3 linked regions of the Astyanax mexicanus genome follow. The protein of the gene in region 1 interacts with the protein of each later gene in a pairwise test. Links are inferred from orthologs where the notes say so. Each region holds a gene or a part of one and is shown in the gene's direction. Other genes may lie near its edges.

What was found. The genes of interacting proteins can lie anywhere in the genome.
Region 2: the proteins of rbfox1 (region 1) and fam168a interact in binary tests that used the Homo sapiens proteins (3 or more experiments, as listed by UniProt). The link is inferred for Astyanax mexicanus from reciprocal best matches to the Homo sapiens genes RBFOX1 and FAM168A.
Region 3: the proteins of rbfox1 (region 1) and bhlhe40 interact in binary tests that used the Homo sapiens proteins (3 or more experiments, as listed by UniProt). The link is inferred for Astyanax mexicanus from reciprocal best matches to the Homo sapiens genes RBFOX1 and BHLHE40.

The regions. Positions count from the first base shown.
Region 1 is NC_064426.1:5,886,211-5,893,568, reverse strand, and holds the start of rbfox1 (RNA binding protein fox-1 homolog 1), read left to right. Parts: upstream 1-4,293; 5' UTR 4,294-4,849; coding exon 4,850-4,948; intron 4,949-7,358. UniProt on the Homo sapiens protein: RNA-binding protein that regulates alternative splicing events by binding to 5'-UGCAUGU-3' elements. Regulates alternative splicing of tissue-specific exons and of differentially spliced exons during erythropoiesis.
Region 2 is NC_064416.1:5,958,260-5,965,895, reverse strand, and holds the start of fam168a (protein FAM168A), read left to right. Parts: upstream 1-4,545; 5' UTR 4,546-4,756; intron 4,757-7,636.
Region 3 is NC_064431.1:29,014,278-29,021,355, forward strand, and holds the start of bhlhe40 (class E basic helix-loop-helix protein 40), read left to right. Parts: upstream 1-3,987; 5' UTR 3,988-4,289; coding exon 4,290-4,366; intron 4,367-4,649; coding exon 4,650-4,713; intron 4,714-5,127; coding exon 5,128-5,235; intron 5,236-5,739; coding exon 5,740-5,863; intron 5,864-6,081; coding exon 6,082-6,935; 3' UTR 6,936-7,078. UniProt on the Homo sapiens protein: Transcriptional repressor involved in the regulation of the circadian rhythm by negatively regulating the activity of the clock genes and clock-controlled genes.

The DNA.
Region 1 (7,358 bases):
TGTGAGTTAGGATAACTCTTAACTAGACTAAGTTAATCTGTATCTTACATGTGAATTAGGAGGTAGAACCTCTAATTAAACTGCAGTAACTCAAAAAGTCATAACATACAGGATGAATTGAGGGAGGGGGAGGACTAAAATGCTTTTGACTAAACTTACAGTTGAGTTAACTCGAACCCCTTTAAGTCAAGTTTTTAAGTTGGCCTGCCTGTTAAATTTTTAATGGGTGCAAAACCTCTGAGGTACAGAAGCGGATCGAGGCTGGAGGAGCGAGCAGGGCGAAACGCAGCAGCTCAGCTACTCTCTTATTCAGCAAAAGCTGAAGACAACAGATCCAGCACTGCAGAGGGTAGCTGTGCTCCATCACGTGGCGAGGCCGGAGCAGCGGATACAGAGGGAAGCATGGGTATAGGGGACGAGGGAAGGCGTGGCATGTGAAGCCCGGCGCAGATGACAATTCTCGAACACGGGTCGGCGCCCGGTGCGACTATTTTTTGCAGCGGGAGGCGCAGAGGACAGGCCGGAAGAGAGACGGAGAGGAAGACAAAACGTGTCTGTAGTCAGGGAAGGGGGGGGTAGAGTTTAAAAAAATAAAGCATCCTTGCCTGAAGGCATGAAGAAGGGAGGAGAAGCAGGAGTAAAATAGAGCAAAGCGTTCTGCTGCCCTCTCTATAATGCACGCGTTCATCCTCCTCCAGCTCCGAAGAAGGCCTTTCTCTTTTTTTTAATTACGCACCCTTGTGCAACATGGAGCGCCATCGATTTTCATGACTTTGTTCTATTATAGTAACAAGCGTCTGAAGCCTTCTTACCCGAGTGCCGTCGGTTCGCGATGTCGACTCGCGTAGTAGCGCTGGGGGGCGGGAGGAAGGGGGGAGGGGGGGGGGGGGGTAGAGAGAAAAAAAACAGATAAGTAAGATTAAAGAAGGAGAACATGAATAATTCACACTCTCTTCCCCACCAAACTGTAATGTCATGTTTGCCGTTGTTGGTTAGACCTTGGATCCGCACTTGAATCAAATATCAGCCTTTTTTTTTCCCCTCCTAATACAACATGTTTTTATCACTATTAATGGATCTTCAAGGTGTTGTTGTGTGTTATAGGAGTCGGTTTAGGCAATTTTGCCTGATTTGACTCCAAACTGCTCTGGACTCTGAATGCTAACCACCGCGTGCTGCTGCAATGAATTATTTACTGCTGCGTGTGCCACCCTGCTTCAGGTGAATGGTGGGTTTTGGAAGCTGTGAATAGAGCAGGCAAAAAGAGTGTTTTTTATTTTTATTTTCCACAGGCCCCTCAGTACCTGCCTCGTTTTTCTCTGGTCAGACTGGCATTTTACGAATAAGAGGCTCTTCTCACATTTAATTAATGATGTGCCTACCCTTAAATAATGGAGTTAAAGGAGTTATTTATTATTAGAGGTTGAACACTCTTGCATGGGGCCTTCAGCTTGTCAGAAAGAAAGAATTCTAGCACTTACTGTATATTGGATCCAGGTATTGTGCTGTGAAAGTAATCTTTATGAAAGTAGTATGGAGTTAGTTGCATTCCTACATTAAAAGACCTTAAAAGAGGTTTTTACTTAGTATTGTAAGTATTGTTATTAGGCTCGTAACAACAGTGGACGCCTTGTTTTGGTGCAGTTTAGGAAAATTTCTTAAACTGTAATTTTTTTGTTTGTTGTAGCTGCAGAACAATTTAGTTCACTTATTAGACACAAGTCAATTATTGTCAAATGCAGTGGTCTAGCAGTCTTAAGCACTGCTACTATGATCGGGAGATTGCATGTTCGAATCCCGGTCATGCAGCAGTTGGAAAGTGTGGAGAAGGTGGCTGACTTCACATGTATCAGAGGGGGCATGTGCTAGTCATAACTAGTGATGCAGGATATACAGTTGGCTAGCAGCTAAATTAACATAAATTTAACGCTTATTTTATTTGTTTTTTTTTGTTTGTTTATCTGCCTTTGCTTATCAAATGTAACCCTTACTAAAACCCTCACCCACTTTAATCCCCTAAGACCCGTACTCTTGCATTGCATGCATTTTTTATTTCTTTTTGCTGTTTGGGCTAATTGGCTCCTGATTAATGGGAAAACAAAGAATTATCTTTTTACATGATGTAGTTTCTGAGAAAAAAAAAATATGGGTTACATAGGTTTATATTTTGATAGAACAAAATATTCATTTAAATTTCTGAACAAAATCCAGACTGCAACGTGTTAAAATCTACTGACAGTATAATGTCCTCATAAGAGGACACCAGGCTCTTGTAGAGCAAAATTTAGTGTTGTGGTCTAGACAACCCAAAATGTGATGTCCACACATGTGGACGCCAGGTCCTAGGAGGTTAATGAATGTGTATGTTTGTTAGTACATGCTTGAGAATCACCTTGATAGAAATGTGAGACATTTTCTAATGCTGATTACAGGATGGATTCAGGACAGGTATTCTGGGACAGTGTGTTAGGTCATACAGGACATGTATGTCATGGGCTGTGAATGACAAAGCCATTTTTAATTCAAGGTGTCTGCTAGAAATACTATATTTGTACCTCCATAATCCTGTTTTGCTCCCTATTTTTTTTTCAACTCATTTACACTAGTATACATCAGCTGAATACAAATGAGGAGTTTTTTAACATGTCCCCTCATTGCCTGAAGGCTGACAGATGGACACACTGTAAGCTTCGGTTCTATATAGTACTGAAACAGAGTTCTTTGGCATGTAAAAATAGTGGAACTCTTTTTTGTGTGTTAGAATATTTTAAAAATCACAAAGCACTGGAACACTGCACTTACTTTTTATATTGTACACCATAAACCAATCATCTCGAGTATAAAAAACCACCTGTCCCCCTTGTGCCACTTAAAGCAGCAGTTCTATGTGTTTTTCTTTTAAGCTAAAAGTATTAGTGCTGCTGAGTAGAAAGAGGACCAACTGTTCTAACTAATTTATTCTCTAAATCCACAAAACTTGACTGTCGCTTTTAAAGAGCTCTGACCTGTAAAGGCATCAACTCCACAAGACCTCTGAAGGAAATCTGTGGTATCCTCTGGTACCAAAGCCAAGAACGTTAGCAGCAGATCCCTTAAGTCCTTAGAGTTGGGAGGTGGGACCTTCACTGATCTTATCAGTGAGCCTTGGGAGCCCTTGACCCTACTCGCGGTTCACCAGTTGTTCTTTCCTGGAGCACTTTTTGTAGATATGCTTCACAAGAACACCTTGGCATACCCTGAGGTTTGGGAGATTATGTGAACCTCCAGTAATCTACCCATTAATGTTTGCTTATTGCCAAAGCATCTCTTTAGTATTATGCTGGAAAAGTGTTTAACACACCAGCGTTAATAACTGGCTTTATATATCATTGTATTAAATGAGTAATATAGGAAAAATATGAAAAAAAAAAAAACAGTAGAGTAAAGAAGGCTTTTCCCTGGTTAATGTTCATAACTTCTTCCCTCAACCATTTAACCAAGTCCAAGTCTACATCCCGCTGTAATATTTGTTTTTACTGCATTTCCCTTAACTCATTCACTCTAATAGAAATACTCAGCCTAAAATAGCTGTGTAATATTAATAATAACCAAACACCTGCCATAATAACCCAACCCAGATGGTTCGGATGAGTTGGAGCGAAAAGTGAACAAGCTTGTTTGTGTTTTGCCATTTAGCACAAGCTAACACTAATCATCAAGATGTATTTGCATAAAAGTGACAGAGCCCTTAAAGTATTAATCAGCTGAAATGAATGAATAAATAAATAAATACATAAATAAATAAATACAGCTTCAGGTCAGAAAAGACCACTTAAAAAATTTGAGTTTCTTTAATTTTACCCAGTGAAAAACCTATGGAATATAATCAAGAGGAAGGTGGATGACCACAATCCATCAAATCAAGCTGAACTGCTTGAATTTGTGCACCAGGAGTGGCATAAAGTTATCCAAAAGCAGTGTGTAAGACTGGTGGAGGAGAATGAATATAAACTTGTTTTCTTTGCATTATTCAAGGTCTTAAAGCTCATAGAAAAGCTTTTTTTGTTATTTCAGCCATTTCCATTTTCTGTAAATAAATGCTCTAAATGACAACATTTTATTTGGAATTTTGGAGAAATGTTGTCCGTAGTTTATATAATAAAACAACAATATTCACTTCAAACATAAATAAACAACCCTCCCACGGCGAGCATTACTCCGCCCCCAGCCCTTATGGCGCATCTCTGATTGGCTATCTCTCGCCGAAGTCCCGCCTCCGCCCGCCTCGAGCGTTCCATTCCACGCGGAGCTTCATACATACGCGCGCGCGAAAGTGGCGCTCTCGCGGATGAGGGAGAGCCGTTAGCGGAGCGGCGGTTAGACTCAGTCAGGCTCAGTGTGTGTTTGTATACAGTGTGTGTACAGGCTTCTCCCAGCTGCTAAAGTTCGCTTTAAACACCCGGAGACGCTAGCTTTTCACCGCTTACCGTCAGCGGGAAGCGGGTTAGTCTGTATTTAAGAGGATAACCTGCTTGTTTGAGCGCGTTTGGACCGGAACCGGTGGAAAAACAGACAGAAACTGCGAACTAAAGAGAGCAGGCTGCAGCTCCGAGCCTAGGAACCAAAAACAGAGAGATAAAAGGTTCATTCTGAGGTAAATTTCAGTAGTTTTAGGTGATATTTCTGTAATTCGGAGGTTTAAAACCCGGTTAAACCCGCTTCGTCTTTTTCAAACCGCAAAACAACCGTTGAAGACAAAGCCAGGCGCTCGAGCGCGGACCGCGAGCCGAGACACGCGCGCCTCACCGCCTCCGCCTCCTCCACCGTTCCCGCTCAGCCCGGCGGCGCTGCCTCAGCCTCCAGCCCAGCCATGCAGCATCCCCTCGCGGGCGGCCCGTGCGTCGCTCTGCCCCGGGTGGACGTGTGTCCGCAGCTCTCCTGTGCCTTGACGTTCATGTACTTACAGCAGGTGAGTGGATGGAAGGATGGGTGAGTGTGCAGAGAGAGAGAGAGAGAGAATGAGTGAAAACTGAACGGGAGTAGTGCTGCTACGATTAGTCGGCACAATCGACAGAATAATCAACTTCAAGATCAACAATATGTATAATATATATAACAATATATAGTCAATGTTGACTAATAATCGTCAGTGTATGTATACTGCACTTCACACTACACTACACTAGAGTTAAAAGCTGCTCAGCCACTCACCAATTAGTCGATTAGTCAGCATAATCGACTTTGTTGATTAGAAATATTTCAATCTTTACTAATAAACTGCTTTTTTATCCCATGCACTTTCTTTTTATAGAAAGTAACTAAACACTTCTAAAATGTTTGAATTCACTTTGAATGCTTCCTTCAAAGAGAATTTTACACAGTATTGTTTAAGTTGTTTTGCTATTTTTAGTAGTTTCTACCCTGATACTGTTAAAATAGGATGCAATAATTACATTATCAACTTATATACATGTTATATACATTACCTGCTGACCTCTATATTAGAGTATTATTAGTGTTTAATTGACAAGACATCATGTTAAAATTGTTTAGGATATTAAATATAGCATATTTTAAGTTCCAGTTCCATTGTGTAAATAATGTAAATAATAATTAAACATATTTATTCCATGCTCTTATTTTTGTAGAAAGTAACTAAACATGTCCAAAAATGTTTGACTTCACTTCCTTCCATTAAAGAGAATATTACACAATATTGTTTCTTAAGCTTTTGTTTTGCTTTTTTTTTTTTAATCTGTTACTGTTACAATAATTACATTATTGTACGTTTTTTTTTTCTAATTTATACACATTACCTCAAAATAGTCAGTTCCAGTTTCAATGTCTAAATACTCTTAATAATTCAAAGTATTTTGCTTTGAGTAAAGTAATGAGTAATGCATTATTATCCTGAAGTATTAGCATTTTATAATTGGCATTAAACCGTTCCCAAAATGAAAATAATGTCAGTATTCAATCACAGTTATTTCTTGGACAAAACATAATCTACAACTTTTTTTTTATAATGACAGGCCTAGTATTCAGGCTCAGACAGTGTACTGCAATTGCAATTCATTTTTTTAAAAATGAATAAAAAAAAAACTATATAAACAGTACTTTTATCTTTTCAGTAAGTTTGTTAGTGTTTACAATACTATATAAGATATGTTTTTACTTTTGTTTGCAATTCGTTTGCAAGATGATTCTAAAAATAAGTAATTTAACTTTACTATAAATGTGTCTGTCTCTAATAGTGTATTTAAATTGCTGTTGAAAGCAACTGTTTATAGTTTTACTGTACACTTTATTTTTTTGTGATTCAGAGCTGAGGATTGATTTAATAGCCCATTATATAAAATGGTCAAAAACTACATAAACAGTAAGTTGCCTTTTTGTAAATGTAGTTTCAGTGTAGTTAGTGTATACACTATTATGTTAAACAAATCAATCTAAACATTATTAAAATTGTAAGACATTATAGAGTGAAACTATATTGACATTTTTAATGACCAATTATGATTAAGTCAAATGCATGAACACCTAATTAAACAAAGCAGTGTAAAGTTGGTGAGACATGCTTCAGTGTGAACGATGCTTAAATTCACCATCATCATTAATGCAACCTAAAACATCACCTGATTCCTCTGATGTTGTGGTATTATGTTACCAGTGTTGTGATACTAGTAAGTTACTAACATCACTTAACACTTAATACAAGACACCTTTATTTGTGGTTTAATGTGGTTTTACATGTATATATTTATATATAATACATGTGAAACTCCTGTTTTTGTAGTATGATTGCATAGTGTAACTGTAGTTTTAACATTGTAGTTTTTAAAGTGTGTCATCATTTTATGTTGGACTGTCCAATGGAAATGCCCCAAAATGGAATTAAATATTTTGACATTGACTTCTATTGGAAGTTTAGAAGGTTGATGTAATGTAAATGCTAAGAGTCTGCCGGATTTATACACTGATCAGCTGCATAATATTAGCACCACCATTTAAGGCAGAGTCCCATGATATCTGGCGCCAAGACATACATTAGCAGCAGATGCTTACAGATAAGTCATGTAAGTTTTGGAGTGAGGCCTCCATGGGACACATCAGTGAGTCTTAGGTGTCCATAACCCTGTTGTCAGCTTACTGGTTGTCCATTCTTGGACAACTTCTAGTCGATTGAGACTAAAGGGCAGCACAATATTGGAAGATCTTTACATTGTGATATTTTGTTGTTCTGCAATATATATTGCAATATTAAAAATCTGCAATCTGTGTATCAAAGTGTATCTCATTTAAAATGAGAATGATGTGATTTTCATCTGTTTCAAACTGCAAAAAAAGTAAAAAACAGATATAGTTTAAAAGTAATTTGA
Region 2 (7,636 bases), on another chromosome or scaffold:
CGCGAGAGCGGGCGCGCGAGAGCACGCTCATAAATGTGTGATAAATGAAGGCGAGGTGAGGCTGGTGTAGCTTTAATGCTGCACGCCGCGGCAGAAGCTATTAGCATCAGGATCGAAACAGGTGCCATGCAGACAGCTGCTGATGTACATTACTGATTAAACAGTGACACCGACTCACGTACGCCAGCGTAATTTGATTGAACACGGAAGATCAAACATGAGAGAGAGAGAGGGAGAGAAATAAAGAGAGAGAGAGAGAGAGAAAGAGAGAGAGAGAGAGAGAGAGAGAGAGAAAGAGATAGAGAAGCTTCATAAACTCTTATAGGCCACAACTGTAGCCAAGCGTAGTGCATTAGCAGTCAGGCTAATGATAATTCAATATGCTCTCTTTATATATTATCGCTTTTAGTGTCCGAGCATCACTCAGAGTCATTCCTCACGCTCTGCTGCTTTCTCGCCAATGTGGAGCCAGGTTTCCCTCTACTGGCACATCTGTGGTACTGCAAGAAAAAGTGTGTGAAATCTTTGGGAATTACTTGGATTTCTGCATAAGTTGGTCATTAAATGTGTTCTGATCTTCATCTAAGTCACAACAATAGACAAACACAGTCTGCTTAAACTAATACCACACAAAAAAATTATATGTTTGCATGGCTTTATTGAATACAACATGTTAACATTCACAGTGAGGGTGGAAAAAGTATGTGAACCTCTAGGCTAATGACTTTTCTAAAAGCTAATTGGAGCCAGGATTAAAAAACACAAACACCAGTTTAGAGTTTGTTGTTCTTAAGAAGCATTGCTTGAGCTCTTAGAAGACCTACGTTCAAGAGTTGTTGACTTGCATGAAGCTGGAAAGGGTAACAAAAGTATCTCTAAAAGCCTTGATGTTCACGTGTCCACGGTAATACAGACGCTCTACAAAAGTTCAGCACTGTTGCTACTTTCCTTAGGCGTGGTAAAGTCCTGTAAAGATGATTGCAAGAGCACAGCGCAGAATGATCAATGAGGTGAGGAAGAATCCTAGAGTGTCAGCTGAAGACTTACAGAAATCTCTGGCACATGTTACAATCTACGTACAATAAGGAAACATTAAACAAGAATTGAGTTCATGGGAGGACACTACGGAGGAAGCCACTGCTGTCCAAAAAAACATTGCTGCACATTTGAAGTTTGCAAAAGAGCACCTGGATGTTCCACATTACTACTGGCTAAATATACTGTGGACAGATGAAACCAAAATTGAGTTGTTTGGAAGGAACACAAAACGCTATGTGTGAAAAAAAAAGGCACAGCACACCATCATCAAAACCTCATCCAACTGTGAAACATGGTGGAGGGAGCATCATGGTTTGGGGCTGCTTTGCTGCCTCAGGGTCTGGACGGATTGCCGTCATCAATGGAAAAATTAATTCCCAAGTTAACCAAGACATTTTGCAGGAAAACTTAAGACCATCTGTTCCTCAACTGAAGCTCAACAGAGGATGGATGATGCAACAGGACAACGACCCAAAACATAGAAGTAAATCAACAACCGAACGACTTCAACAGAAGAAAATACTGAGCCTTCTGGAGAGTCCTGACCTCCTGAACCCAACTGAGATGCTCTGTGGCATCATGACCTCAAGAGAGAGATTCACACCAGATATCCTGAAACAGTTTATTGAAGAGGAATGATCCAAAATTCCTTCTGACTGTTCTGCAGGTCTGATCTGCAGCTACAGGAAATGATTGGTTGAGGTTTTTGCTGCTAAATGAGGATCAACCAGTTATTAAATCCAAAGATTCACATACTTTCCCCTCACTGTGAATGTTAACATGTTGTGTTCAATAAAACCATGCAAACATAAATATATATATACATATATTTAGTGTGGTATTAGTTTAAGCAGACTGTGTTTGTCTATTGTTGTGACTTTTAATGAACAATTTATGCAGAAATCCAAGTATAATCCCAAAGAGTTCACATACTTTTCTTGCAACTGTATATGCTACTCACACTCAGAAGACGTTTCTACATTAGATATAGCTCTCCATTATCCGTTTTGTGCCCATTTTTTATCCACATGTTATCCACATTTTTATCCACATTTTTTTCTCTGTAAAACTGCTTTGTGACTACTTCTGTTGTAAAAAAGTGTTATATAAGTGAATTAAACTGATTTGAATTACAGACACACTGTTACAGACACACTGATACAAATATGCAGTTCCTGATACACTGTTACACACCTATCATTACAGACACTATCTGAACCATAAAATATATTATTAAAGATTACTGTACAGTGCAGTCTGTTATATTTAACCTGATTGTATCAGACACTTTCCTGCTTCTGGACATTTTTCTTTACTACATTTAATCAAGTTATTGTTTTTTAAGCTTATAAACCATGCTTTTATACGGACACAGTGTGTGTTTGAGGGTTTTACCCACTAGATGGTGGTGCAGTGCTTCCTATATCAAACTGCAGCCCCAGAAAGTTCTGTTCTGAAGGAAAGTGAGAAAGAAACTCCTTTATGATAGACATTCTAATGTCTCTTTTAATTATAGCAATGGTTGCAAATATATGTTGTTGAACATTAGAGGGTCCAGGGTCATCAGCTCACGTAAATGTATCTGTATGCATTTTACATCCGGTCCAGCCAGTACAAAAATTAGCAGTCTTGTATTCCTAAGTTGTCTAATAAAATAATAATAATAATAATAATAATAATAATAATAATAATAATAATAATAATAATAATAATAATAATATTATTAATAATAAAAATATTAATAATAATAATAATAATAATAATAATAATAATAATAATAATAATAATAATAATATGTATACTATACACTCTTTTAAAGGTGTGGACATTTAAAGCAGTACATCTGATCTTTCTCAAACATTTTCTTTGAATATGACAGTTTTTTAGATTTATATTTTTGATCTTTTTTCCTGACTTCTTACGATAATAAAGGATTATTATACTACAGTCATGGTCGAACATTTTGCCACTTTTGTACATATTTTCTCAAAAAATGAACAACAATTGTAAAACATAGCAATACAGCATTGTGTAAATAGGGCATAATCAGCCACAATCTAGTTCAAAAGAAATTCTAGCTGTCCTGCAGGCTCAGGGTGCATCAGTGTCAGTGTGAACTGTCTATCAAAATATATGGAAATAGGCCAAATATGGCATGAAAAGAAAAATAGTAAATACAGTAAAATATGTTGGAGGTTGTTTTGCTGCATCTGGTACTGGTAAATTAATATTATTATATTTTTTTATTTTTTATTGTTTATTCTTTAAATGTCTAATCACCATCAGAAAGCCTGTAACTATTTTAACTAGTTTAACTGGGTTTATTCTTTTTCTTATCATTTCAATTTTTTATTATTCTTTCTATTTATTTATTTATTTATTTATTTATTTTCTTAGGATCTAAGTTCACTATTGTTTATTTGCTGTTTCTCTTTTCTAACTCTTATCATTTGATTTTATCATTTACTTTTTTGCTATTATTATTTTTTTTTTCTTTATTTTAAATTTTATAATTTCTTTACTTTTTTGTTTTCTTTTTTTTTTAGGGGTCATTTTATTTAGGTTACCCTCTTGTATATTATATGTTTATACATTTAATTTATCTAGAATAAATATATTTATTCAAACTGTGTATTTATTATATTTAGAATTTTTTTTATTATTTCTAATTTCTTATCTAATGTTTTAAATCAGTTTTATATTGTAATTGTAAATGAGGGTCACCCTCAATGTACTAATGTACTCCTGAGTTAAAATAAATTACTCTTCTTAGTTTATTTCATCATTTACTTTTTACTATTTTTATTTGTTCTGTATTTTATCTTAATTTTATGAATTCTTAAATTTTTGTGAGTTCATTTTTAAGTGTTTTTTATATTTCACTCTTTTTTATATGTATATATTTTTATTAATCTATATTAAATATATTTATTTATTTTTTTCCTTTATTTTATTCTTTTTTTCTTATGTAATATTTTAAATCAGTTTTATACTATAATTGCGAATGAAGGTGCTCAATGTACTCCCGAGCTAAAATAAATGTTGAATGATTGATTCATTAATTGATTAATTGATTGATTGACTGATTAAATAATGAAACCATTTGCATTTTAATATGACTTAAACATTTATTATTTAAATATGTATTTCCACCCTTCAACCGCTAGAGTGCGTCTGTTGATCAAAGAAAATATGTCCTAAAATATAAATTATAGCGCCTCCTAGCGATTAGAGTTGGAAATAAATCTCAGTAAACGCTCAGCCAGGCTTTGCAGCATTCTGGGATTTGTAGTCCTTTAAGACCCCTGCAGTGTGAGTCCCGCCCCTCGCTCCTGATTGGACGCTGCTGGCTCTGTTTTTTTTGGAGCTACTGGTGTTGCGGTGCGTCAAATACGCATACATTCACTCACTCCTCCTCCTCCCTCCCTCCCTCCCTCTCTCTCTCTCTCTTTCCTTCTTTTGTGCCCCCCTAGCACCCTCCCACCCCTCGGTATCTGCCCCATCCCCCACTCTCTCCCTCTCTCTCTCTCTCTCTCTCTCTCTCTCTCTCTCTCTCTCTCTCTCTCTCTCTTGTATTTTCATCCTGCCTGCGTAAAAAAGGAAAGAGCAGCAGCAGCAGCAGCAGTCAGACTGCCGGATCTACAGCTACATAAAGCCTTCAGACCCGGAGCTACAAAGAAACCAGAGGCATCTAAACACCCAGGATCTGCCCAAACTGGTGAGTTTTAACCTCCACGCTGCTGTTTTCACTTTTTCCAGCTTTCTTTCTTTGCATGAACCCTCCCTTTCCAGCTGTCCATCCAGGAGAAAGAGAGAAAGAGAGAGGCTGGTTTGTTGGTTGGTGCTTGGTGGTTGGTTGGTGCTCCTCAATCCATGGCATCCAAAGCCATGGTAGGTACAGTAGGCATGGAGGCAAGGTGAGTTATGAAACACATATATAGCTACAGTAGCATCTTAGCTAGCTAGCATCATTATTGCTTATCATTGTTTAGCTATAAACTTGTGCGACTAGCTAATCTACAGGATGTATGGAATTGCTATTTTATGGATATATAAGGGATACATAATGCCACACTCCATTGGGCAAACCAAGAATAGCATCCCAAAATGGTGTCGGACAGGCTTTGAATGTGACCAGCTTTTCTATATATAACCTAAAATGATCATAAAGAACCAACACCAGGTCCAGATCTTCATTCTATACAGGAGAAAGAGAGAGAGATGGAGGGAAATAAAGCAAGAGAGAGAAAGAGAGATGCTGGTTTGTTGGTTGGTGTTTGGTGGTTGGTTGGTGCTCCTCAATCCATGGCATCCAAAGCCATGGTAGGTACAGTAGGCATGAAGGCAAGGTGAGTTATGAAACACATATATAGCTACAGTAGCATCTTAGCTAGCTAGCATCATTATTGCTTATCATTGTTTAGCTATAAACTTGTGCGACTAGCTAATCTACAGGATGTATGGAATTGCTATTTTATGGATATATAAGGGATACATAATGCCACAATCCATTGGGCAAACCAAGAATAGCATCCCAAAATGGTGTCGGACAGGCTTTGAATGTGACCAGCTTTTCTATATATAACCTAAAATGATCATAAAGAACCAACACCAGGTCTAGATCTTCATTCTATACAGGAGAAAGAGAGAGAGATGGAGGGAAATAAAGCAAGAGAGAGAAAGAGAGATGCTGGTTTGTTGGTTGGTGTTTGGTGGTTGGTTGGTGCTCCTCAATCCATGGCATCCAAAGCCATGGTAGGTACAGTAGGCATGGAGGCAAGGTGAGTTATGAAACACATATATAGCTACAGTAGCATCTTAGCTAGCTAGCATCATTATTGCTTATCATTGTTTAGCTATAAACTTGTGCGACTAGCTAATCTACAGGATGTATGGAATTGCTATTTTATGGATATATAAGGGATACATAATGCCACAATCCATTGGGCAAACCAAGAATAGCATCCCAAAATGGTGTCAGACAGGCTTTTAATGTGACCAGCTTTTCTATGTATAACCAGATATGATCATGAAGACCCACCACCAGGTCCAGATCTCCATTCGGGCCAGGAGAAAGAGAGAGAGGTGGTGGGAAAGAAAGCAAGAGAGAGAAAGAAAGAGAGAGAGGCTGGATCATTGGTTAGTGCTTGGGTAGTTTGGGGCTCCTCAATCCATGGCATCCAAAGCCATGGTACGTACTGTAGGCTGGAGGGAAGGTGTGTTATGAAACACATAGTTACCCTAGCATCCTAACTAGTTAGCATTCTTGGGTATTGCTTTCTAGCCTGCTAGCGAGCTAGCTAGTTAGCCATATTAGCCTAGCCTATACTATCTATAAGGATGTGAGGCACCCATGCACTCCATCCATACACCATGCTAATAATGCTCCACACCATTGGGCATAGCAAGCATAGCATCCCAAAATGGTGCCCAGCTTTTTTTATATAACCAAACATGACCATAAAGACCCACCACCAGGACCAGATCCTCATTCTGTCCAGGAAAAATAAAAAAGAGAGAATAAGAGAGGCTTTAGTTGTTGGTTGGTGCTCCTCAAACCATGGTACCCAAGCCATGAGTTATAAAACCCGTAGCTATCTTGCTTACCCTTACTTAGCTTGCTAAATCAGTCTTCGAATATATATGATGTATGAAGTTGCTATTTCATGGATATATGAGGATTTGAGATACCCAAAGAGGATGCCCTCCTTAACTCATTCACTCCATCCACTATGCTAATAATGCCTCACTTCACTGCGCCAACCAAACATAGTATTCCAAAATGCCAGATCTTCAATCTGACCAGAAGAAAAGAGATAGAAAGTGATAGAGCAAAGAAAAGAAAAAAGGAGAGAGTTTTTGGTTCGTTGGTGTGTTGGTTGGTTGGTCCTTGATTGGTGATTCTCAAACCATGACATCCAAGCTATATTAGCCGCCTTATCTGTAAGCTGTATGGAATTGCATGGATTTTTACATATAACCAAATATGATCATGAAGACCCACCACCAGGATGTTTGGAATTGGTATTGCATGGATATATGAGTGATATATGAATATATGGATATATGGATATATGAATTTGAGGCTCCCATCCACTTTATACACCAAGCTCCACTGGGCAAACCAAGCATAGCATCCCAAAAGGGTGTCCATTTTTTTTTGTTTATATATAAAACTAAATATGATGATGACTCACCACCAAGACCAGATCTTCATTCTGTCTAGGAAAGAAAGAGAGAGAGGTAAACACTTTTGGCCTGTACTGTATGGAAATGCTATAAATGTTTGAGGCAATGAGATACTCAAGAAAGATGCCCCACTTTACCAGATCTTCATTTTGTCCAGGAAAAGAAAGAGAGAGGGAAGTTAAGAAAGAAAGAGGGATTAAGAGGCTTAGTTGTTGGTTGATGGTGCTTAAACCATGGCACCCAAACCATGATGTTTTTGGTATGGAGTTACCCTAGCATCTTAGCTAGCTAGAATATGATGATCATGAAGACCCACCAGATTCCCCCAGCCCCAGATCCTCATGCGGTGTGGCAGTTAGCGAGAGCTCAGGGTTGCTGAACATGGCGTGTAGGCTGGAGGGCCTCCTCT
Region 3 (7,078 bases), on another chromosome or scaffold:
GGATTTAAACGGACGTTGGTGTTGAGGCCACACTAATAATTCACTACAATTCACATGACCTTGCCATGAGCACAGTGACCAGTGTTCAGCCTTACTCACAAGACAACACCTCAGAACGTATATATACCCCTATGCATCACCTTACAGCCCCCCTGCAGCTGTTACAGTGGGTATGGAACTTTACGAGGTCTCTTAACCCTTTTAGACTCTTCATCCATTACAATGGACATCATGTATTTTCTTATTTTTTCAAATGTTTTATTGCACGGAACACTAATCGTGACCTGTTGTTAATCAGAATAGAGTATAAATGAGCCAATGAAAAAGTTTATAAGCCAATGAAATAGCCAATAGTTTAGCCCCGCCCACTCTTGGGGGGAAAAAAACAGCACTAGAGCCCAAGGGACAAATGGAAAATAATTAATTTTTCATTATTTTAGTGATTTAGAACACTTTTTTAATGAATGTTTTAGTGTTTAGGGATAGCATGTGATGTTTCAATCCAATACACAAAAAACAATAAGTCTTCCTTTGTGTACATTACAGATAGAAAACAGCATTATTATGGCACAAAATTCAGGCCTGAAAGGGTTAAAACCATTTATATCCAAGGAATGGGAGAATTTTTGCAAAAAACCTGGACTGTTAATATCATCGACAGAGAATGAGACAAAAAAGGCATTGTATAAAACTTTTACATCATCACAAACTAATCTAATAAAGACAATTGAGAGATGAAAACGTGGGTTGGAAGCAAACATTATAATACAATAAATAAAAATGAGAGAAAGCATTTAAAACAGGGCATTCATTTAATAATAACCTGACATTAGAATGAGATTGGAAAATAAAAACCCTTCTATTATGTCACAGTTCAGTTATATAGTATAAAAAGGCTGTTGTTATTGTTCTTCTGAGACACTGAAGTTATGAGATACAAGGTTTTGCTAATGTAACATTTAGAAGCGTTAATGTAAAGGTTATTTCTCTGGAAGGTTCAGATCATGTCCTGTTTTCAGATTACTGTATTACTGCACTCAGCCGGGTTTAAGAGTTTACAGACCAGTCAGCCCCTCCCTCTGTGATGACGTCACTAAGAAGCCCACCACAGAAGCCCACAAGATAAAGGGGTAAATTGAGAGAAAAAGATTAACAGATAGATAGATAGATAGATAGATAGATAGATAGATAGATAGATAGATAGATAGATAGATAGATAGAGTGATTATTATATAATCATAATTCTTGATTAATAATGAAATTATCATAATCATGATTCATTTTGTTATAAATATTTTTATGTCTGTTGTGTATGTTCATACCAATGTTGTTAATTGTTATAATGCTTTGGCAACACTAACTCATAGTCATGCTAATAAAGCTACATTATATTAAAAATTGAATTGAGAGCGAGAGACAGGGAGAGAGGTTAACTGAGGGAGAGAGGGAGAGAGGGGGAGAGAGAGAAAGAGAGAGGTAAATTGGTAGGAAGAGGTCAATTGGTAGAGAGAGGTTAACAGAGAGAGAGAGAGAGAGGATAAACAGAAAAAGAAGGTAAACAGGGAGAAAGATATAGAGAAATAAAGAGGATCAATATAATCATTTTTAATTATTGGTATTTTATTAACTACTGATGTCTCTTATTTTGTAATAATTGATTTGTTTTGTTGTAATAATTGTTGTGATTCTTAAATAATATTATTGTTATTACATTCACAATAAAGCTTTACTTAATAAAAGCTGTACTTTAAATCATTAATCTTACAGAAAGGTAAACAGAGAGAAAGAGAGAGAGAGTGTGTGTCTGTGTTTGTGTGTGTGTGTGTGTGTGAGATGTAATCGGGCATTTCAATCAGAAGCTGATAAATTTGCTTCACCCAGAAAATAAACATCACGTGACCGCTGTTTACCCCCCCCGCAAAAAAAACTCGATCAGGCGCGCGCGTGTCCCGCCGCCACCCGGTTAATAATAAATAATGATATAAGTAAAAGGGCGCGCGCTCTGGCTGTGTGACGTCAGCGGCGGGATTTCAGTCCGCGCCATGAGCAGATCAACGTGACCGGAGCGGGAGAGCGCGCGCGCGGCACAGAAAAGAGAGTGTGGTGCCGCACGTGCCCGAGAGCGGTGTCGGTGATACGGTGAGTGCACGAGCTGGACCTGGACAACAACAACAGCCTGCACGAGCCTCGGTCCTGCGCTCATCAGCATGAATCACCAGTCTGATCACCTATTAAATCACACAGCGCGAGCTCTGATATCTATCGATAATCTTACACTTAATCCATTGCTGACACAGATGTGCAAATGCACACACAAAGCTTGTTTAGTGTCTGTGGAAGTCTGTCGTCTGTCTATCTACTCCAAATTGACAACCCTTCTGATAAATGCATTAACATATTTTAAGTTGCACCTATTGCTGACACAGCGGTGCAAATGCACACAATTGGTCTAGCTCTTATAGAGAACTACTGCCAATAGAATAGAACAGAATAGAATAGAATAGGAGTGTACAGAGTGCTAGAGAGTGGTGTGTTTTAAAGAATTTGTGGTCTGACCTCTGGTTTCATCTTATTACACCTTCTCTCGTGGTACACTGATCTGACCCCTGGGCTGCTCCTCAAACTGACTAAGTCCTAAACACCCATTTTACATGACACTGACAGGGGATCAGTTTTCATGCACAGCCCAAATCAATGCATCCTGGTTCAGATGAGAAAAATGTCCATTTAATCTAAAGCTAAACATGTTATAAACCAGTATATGCTATGTTCTGTATCTAATGATGTAAAGCAATATGAAAAAAGAACCAATTGAATTATTACTTTGCATGTCTGTCTATCATTTAAAAAACAATCCAACTAAAACACATTTTTATTAACCCCCCCAACCCCCCCAAATAATCCGTGTTTGTGTTCTTGTTATGTAGTAAGTAGCACGTGTGGACTCATGCGCGAGAGAGACATCCAATCGTCTGTCTGTACTTCTATCCATCCATCTATATCCAACTGTCTGTCAGTCTGTCTGCATACGTTACTACATGCTGTAAATAATACTGCAAATCCTTCTAAGCATTTTATTAAATGTTAGTTATTATTAACTAAAACATTTTATTATAACAATATTTATGTCTGTCTATCTATCGATCTATCTATAATCAAACTGTGTTTATCCAAGTAACCACTATATGCTGTAAATAATGCTGCAAATCATGCTAAGCATATTATTGTTATTGTTGCTATTATAATAAACTAAAAACACATTTTTTATTATTAAAAAAACAAAAAATCTGTCTATCTAACAGTCTATGTATTTATCTGTAATCCAACTGTGTCTGTCTATCTAAGTAAGCCACTATTTGCTGTAAATCATGCTAAATATGCATATTATAATTGTTATTATTATTTTTATTCTTCCGTTTGTCTGTCTGTCTCCATCTATCTATTTTCTGCTGTTCATGATTAAAGTAGCAAAACAAAATACAAAAAAAACACGAAATAATCGCTGCGCGTGTTCTTGTGCGTGTTCTTGTTGTTGTGTAGTAAGCGGCGCTCGCGCGCGCTTGACTCGCTGTGTGAGAGCGAGCGAGCGCGCGATAGCGAGCGAGCGAGAGAGCGCGTGGTGGTACACGCGACACAGGCTGGGGACCTTCTGGAACGTTTTCTTTTTTTCTCTATCCTTTAGCCCCGCCCACCCGTGCCTCTCCGCGCTGCTGATCTGCGATTGGCGGGCTGAACGGACTGAATGGGATTACGCTGGCCAATCGGGAGAAGCTAGGGGCGGGGCGTGCCGAAAAACGGGTGGGAATAACAAAAGAAGTGTCCTGAGAACTGGCGGGGGGAACAGCGCCGTCCAACACGTGAGGCTCATGTGACGGAGGTAGGTCAGTTTAGAGAGAGAGAGAGAGAGAGAGAGAGGGAGGGAGGGATAGAGAGAGAGAGAGAGAGAGAGAGAGAGAGAGAGAGAGAGAGACGTGTCTGTAGTCACAGGGTTTTTTATTTAACACGTAGCTAGTCCAGTTCACCCTCCCACACACATATAGCTCTAGATACAACACACACACTCCTCCTTCATACACACTCTCACACAAACATTTAACAGGAGAGGAGCTTCAAAACTGTCTGAGTTGACGACAAACCACCTTTACGCAAGGACGTTATGCACTTTCCCTGCGGATTTCTTTGAGAACAAGTTCGTTTTTGGCAATTTATGAGCATTTAAAAGCTGTTTCGGCTTCATTTTCGTTAGAAATCGTTTTTTCCTGCGTTATTTTACGCGTAAACGAGACGAAATGGAAAGGATTACAAGCGCACAGCCTCCACCGTGTATGACCAAACACCCCTCTATGGATATTTCAGATATGCCGGGGTAAGTAGCTGGAAATGGGGCAATTTCAGGTCCTCTGAGTAGGAATTCGCCCCTGGATTTCGCTCCAACTGCCTGGGCGGCTCTGCTGCAGCTTGGAGCGAAATCCCGGGACGGATTTGGACTCACAGGCTTTCTAGGCAACTTAAATCATTTTAATCTGTTTTAAAATAGGGAAAAACAAGTCTTATAACATATATTTCTAAAAATACAACTTAATGTCATTTTACTAACTTTTTCTTTATTATTTTCTCATTATTTCTCCCCTTTTCCAAATCTTATTCAGAATGGATTTCCCAATGTATGTGTACAAACCTCGGAGAGGCATGAAACGAGGAGACGACAGCAAGGTAAATACTTAAAAAACAATCAAATATATGGGTGAATATATATATATATATATATATATATATATATTATACACATTGTACACTGCTATTAATTTAGTTAATAATATTCATTAAAACATACAGAAATATTTATAATTGAAGGAATTAAACAAAATAAAATATTAATACATTTGTGCAGCTCACAACATTACACTTGTAGAAAAAAGTTCCTGTATATGCATTTAATGAATGAATGAATTGATTGATTATTTATTTATTTATCTATCTGTCCATGCCCCACGCATGCAAGCTGCACAGCTAGAGCTTATCGTTTTTTAAATGTTTTAAAGTTTTGAATAGTAGTTTAGTAAACTTTTAATTCTAGTTTTAATTTAAACATTATAAAATGAACATGCTCTTGTTTGTTCACCACAGGATACGTACAAGCTGCCACATCGCTTGATTGAAAAGAAGAGACGTGACAGAATAAACGAGTGCATCGCTCAGCTGAAGGATTTGCTCCCTGAACACCTTAAACTCACTGTAAGTATAGCTCTGTGGGAGTGGATTGGAGTGAGTGTGTGGAGCACCAGAGCTCTAAAGCGTCCTCTGGTGGTTGACCTGGAGGAGTTTTCTTATTTTTCACACTTTTATTTTGTGCTGTGACGTGCATTCGAAGCATTTATTGACTTGACTGTTTAGTATACTCATTTGTTATCTATTCGCTTGGCTATTCATTGCGGTTGACTTGCTTGACCGTGATACATTTACAGGATGGTGCATGCACAAGCACAAGTTTTGAGTTTGCATGCTCATGAAGTTTAAAAAAAGTTTAAATATAATTTGTAGAATCTCAACTGAACTAAAACAGTTTGAAATGTTTTTTAACAAGTCTAAGCTTAGGCTTTAGGTTTGTTAGATGTTTTGCAATGCCCGCTGCGTCTCAGTGTCGCTCTCGCCTGGCGGAGAGTTTGTCCTCGGCGAGGCAGCTGAGGGAGCGTTACATAAGAAAGATCAACATGCTTATCTGAGTGCTTCCTCTTTTAGACGCTGGGCCATTTGGAGAAGGCCGTGGTGCTGGAGCTCACGTTAAAGCATGTGAAAGCCCTCAACGGCCTTCTGGAACAGCAGCAGCAGCAGATCATTTCATTGCAGAGCGGAATGCAAATTGGTAAGTTAAAATAAACACTTCATGTAAAGCCGTTTTCCTGCTTTCCTGCTTTCTGAGTAACACGGCGATCTGTTCTCAGAACTTCTGTCACTTGTGTTTGTTCTCTCTTGTGCATGAGTTCACATCAGTCCAATGTTTTTGATGCAACCTGCATCCTGAAATCTTTCTCTCAACTTATTATTAACACATGCTCTACTTTTTTTCTATCTGTTCTGCAGGTGATCAGAGCAATGGCAGCTCAGAAAACAGCGAAGAGATGTTCCGTTCCGGTTTCCATCTCTGTGCCAAGGAGGTACTCCAGTATCTGGCCAGCTTGGAAAGCACACGGGACCTGACCCCAACACACGTTGTCAACCACCTGCACAAAGTGGCTGCTGAGCTCCTGCAGCGTCCAGCCAGCCCCCGCCTGGACACGCCCTCGCCTGGTCGCAAGGGTCAAGAGGCCAGGGAGAAGGCAGCTGCTCCCCAGCCCTGCTCGCCGGAGGGCCACGCCAAAAACTGTGTCCCGGTCATTCAGAGAACGTACAACCCCCAGATCAGCGAACAAAGCGGCAGCGACACAGACACAGACAGCGGCTACGGGGGCGAGCTGGACAAACGAGACTCCAAAGGCCAGAGAATCAGCTACTACAGCAAAGACGCCGCAGAGATGAAGCACGGCCGGTACGGCAGCATCAAGGAGGAGCGAGACGAGCCCCAGGCCAAGCGGGTCAGGTCGGATTCGTCCGAGGACGAGTCTCTGTCGGGTCACGAGTCGCACGGCGGGTACGTGAGCTTCTCGCCCCACCAGCCGCCGCTCTGCATGCCCTTCTACCTCATCCCCCCCACAGCGGCAGCTGCTGCCGCCTACCTGCCCATGCTGGAGAAGTGCTGGTACCCAGGGGGCATGCCTGTGCTGTACCCGGGCATCGGGGGCTCCACGGCTGGGCTGTCTCCTGAAAAACTGCCCTCGTCACTGGTCATGTCTCCGAGAGTAGCCTCCCCGGCTGCCCCTCAGACCCCTATGGACTCTCCTGCTCTCCTTCAGGCCCTGAAACAGGTGCCCCCCTTAAACCTGGAAACCAAAGACTGAACTAACTAACTATAAATAAATAAATAAATAAAAACACCCCCAGCCCACCCTCTGAACGAATGGTCTTGGAATGGTGTTGAAAGAGGATGGAGGGGTTAACACTGTAAGAGCTGTAAGAGGGGGAACAACTATAATAATGATGA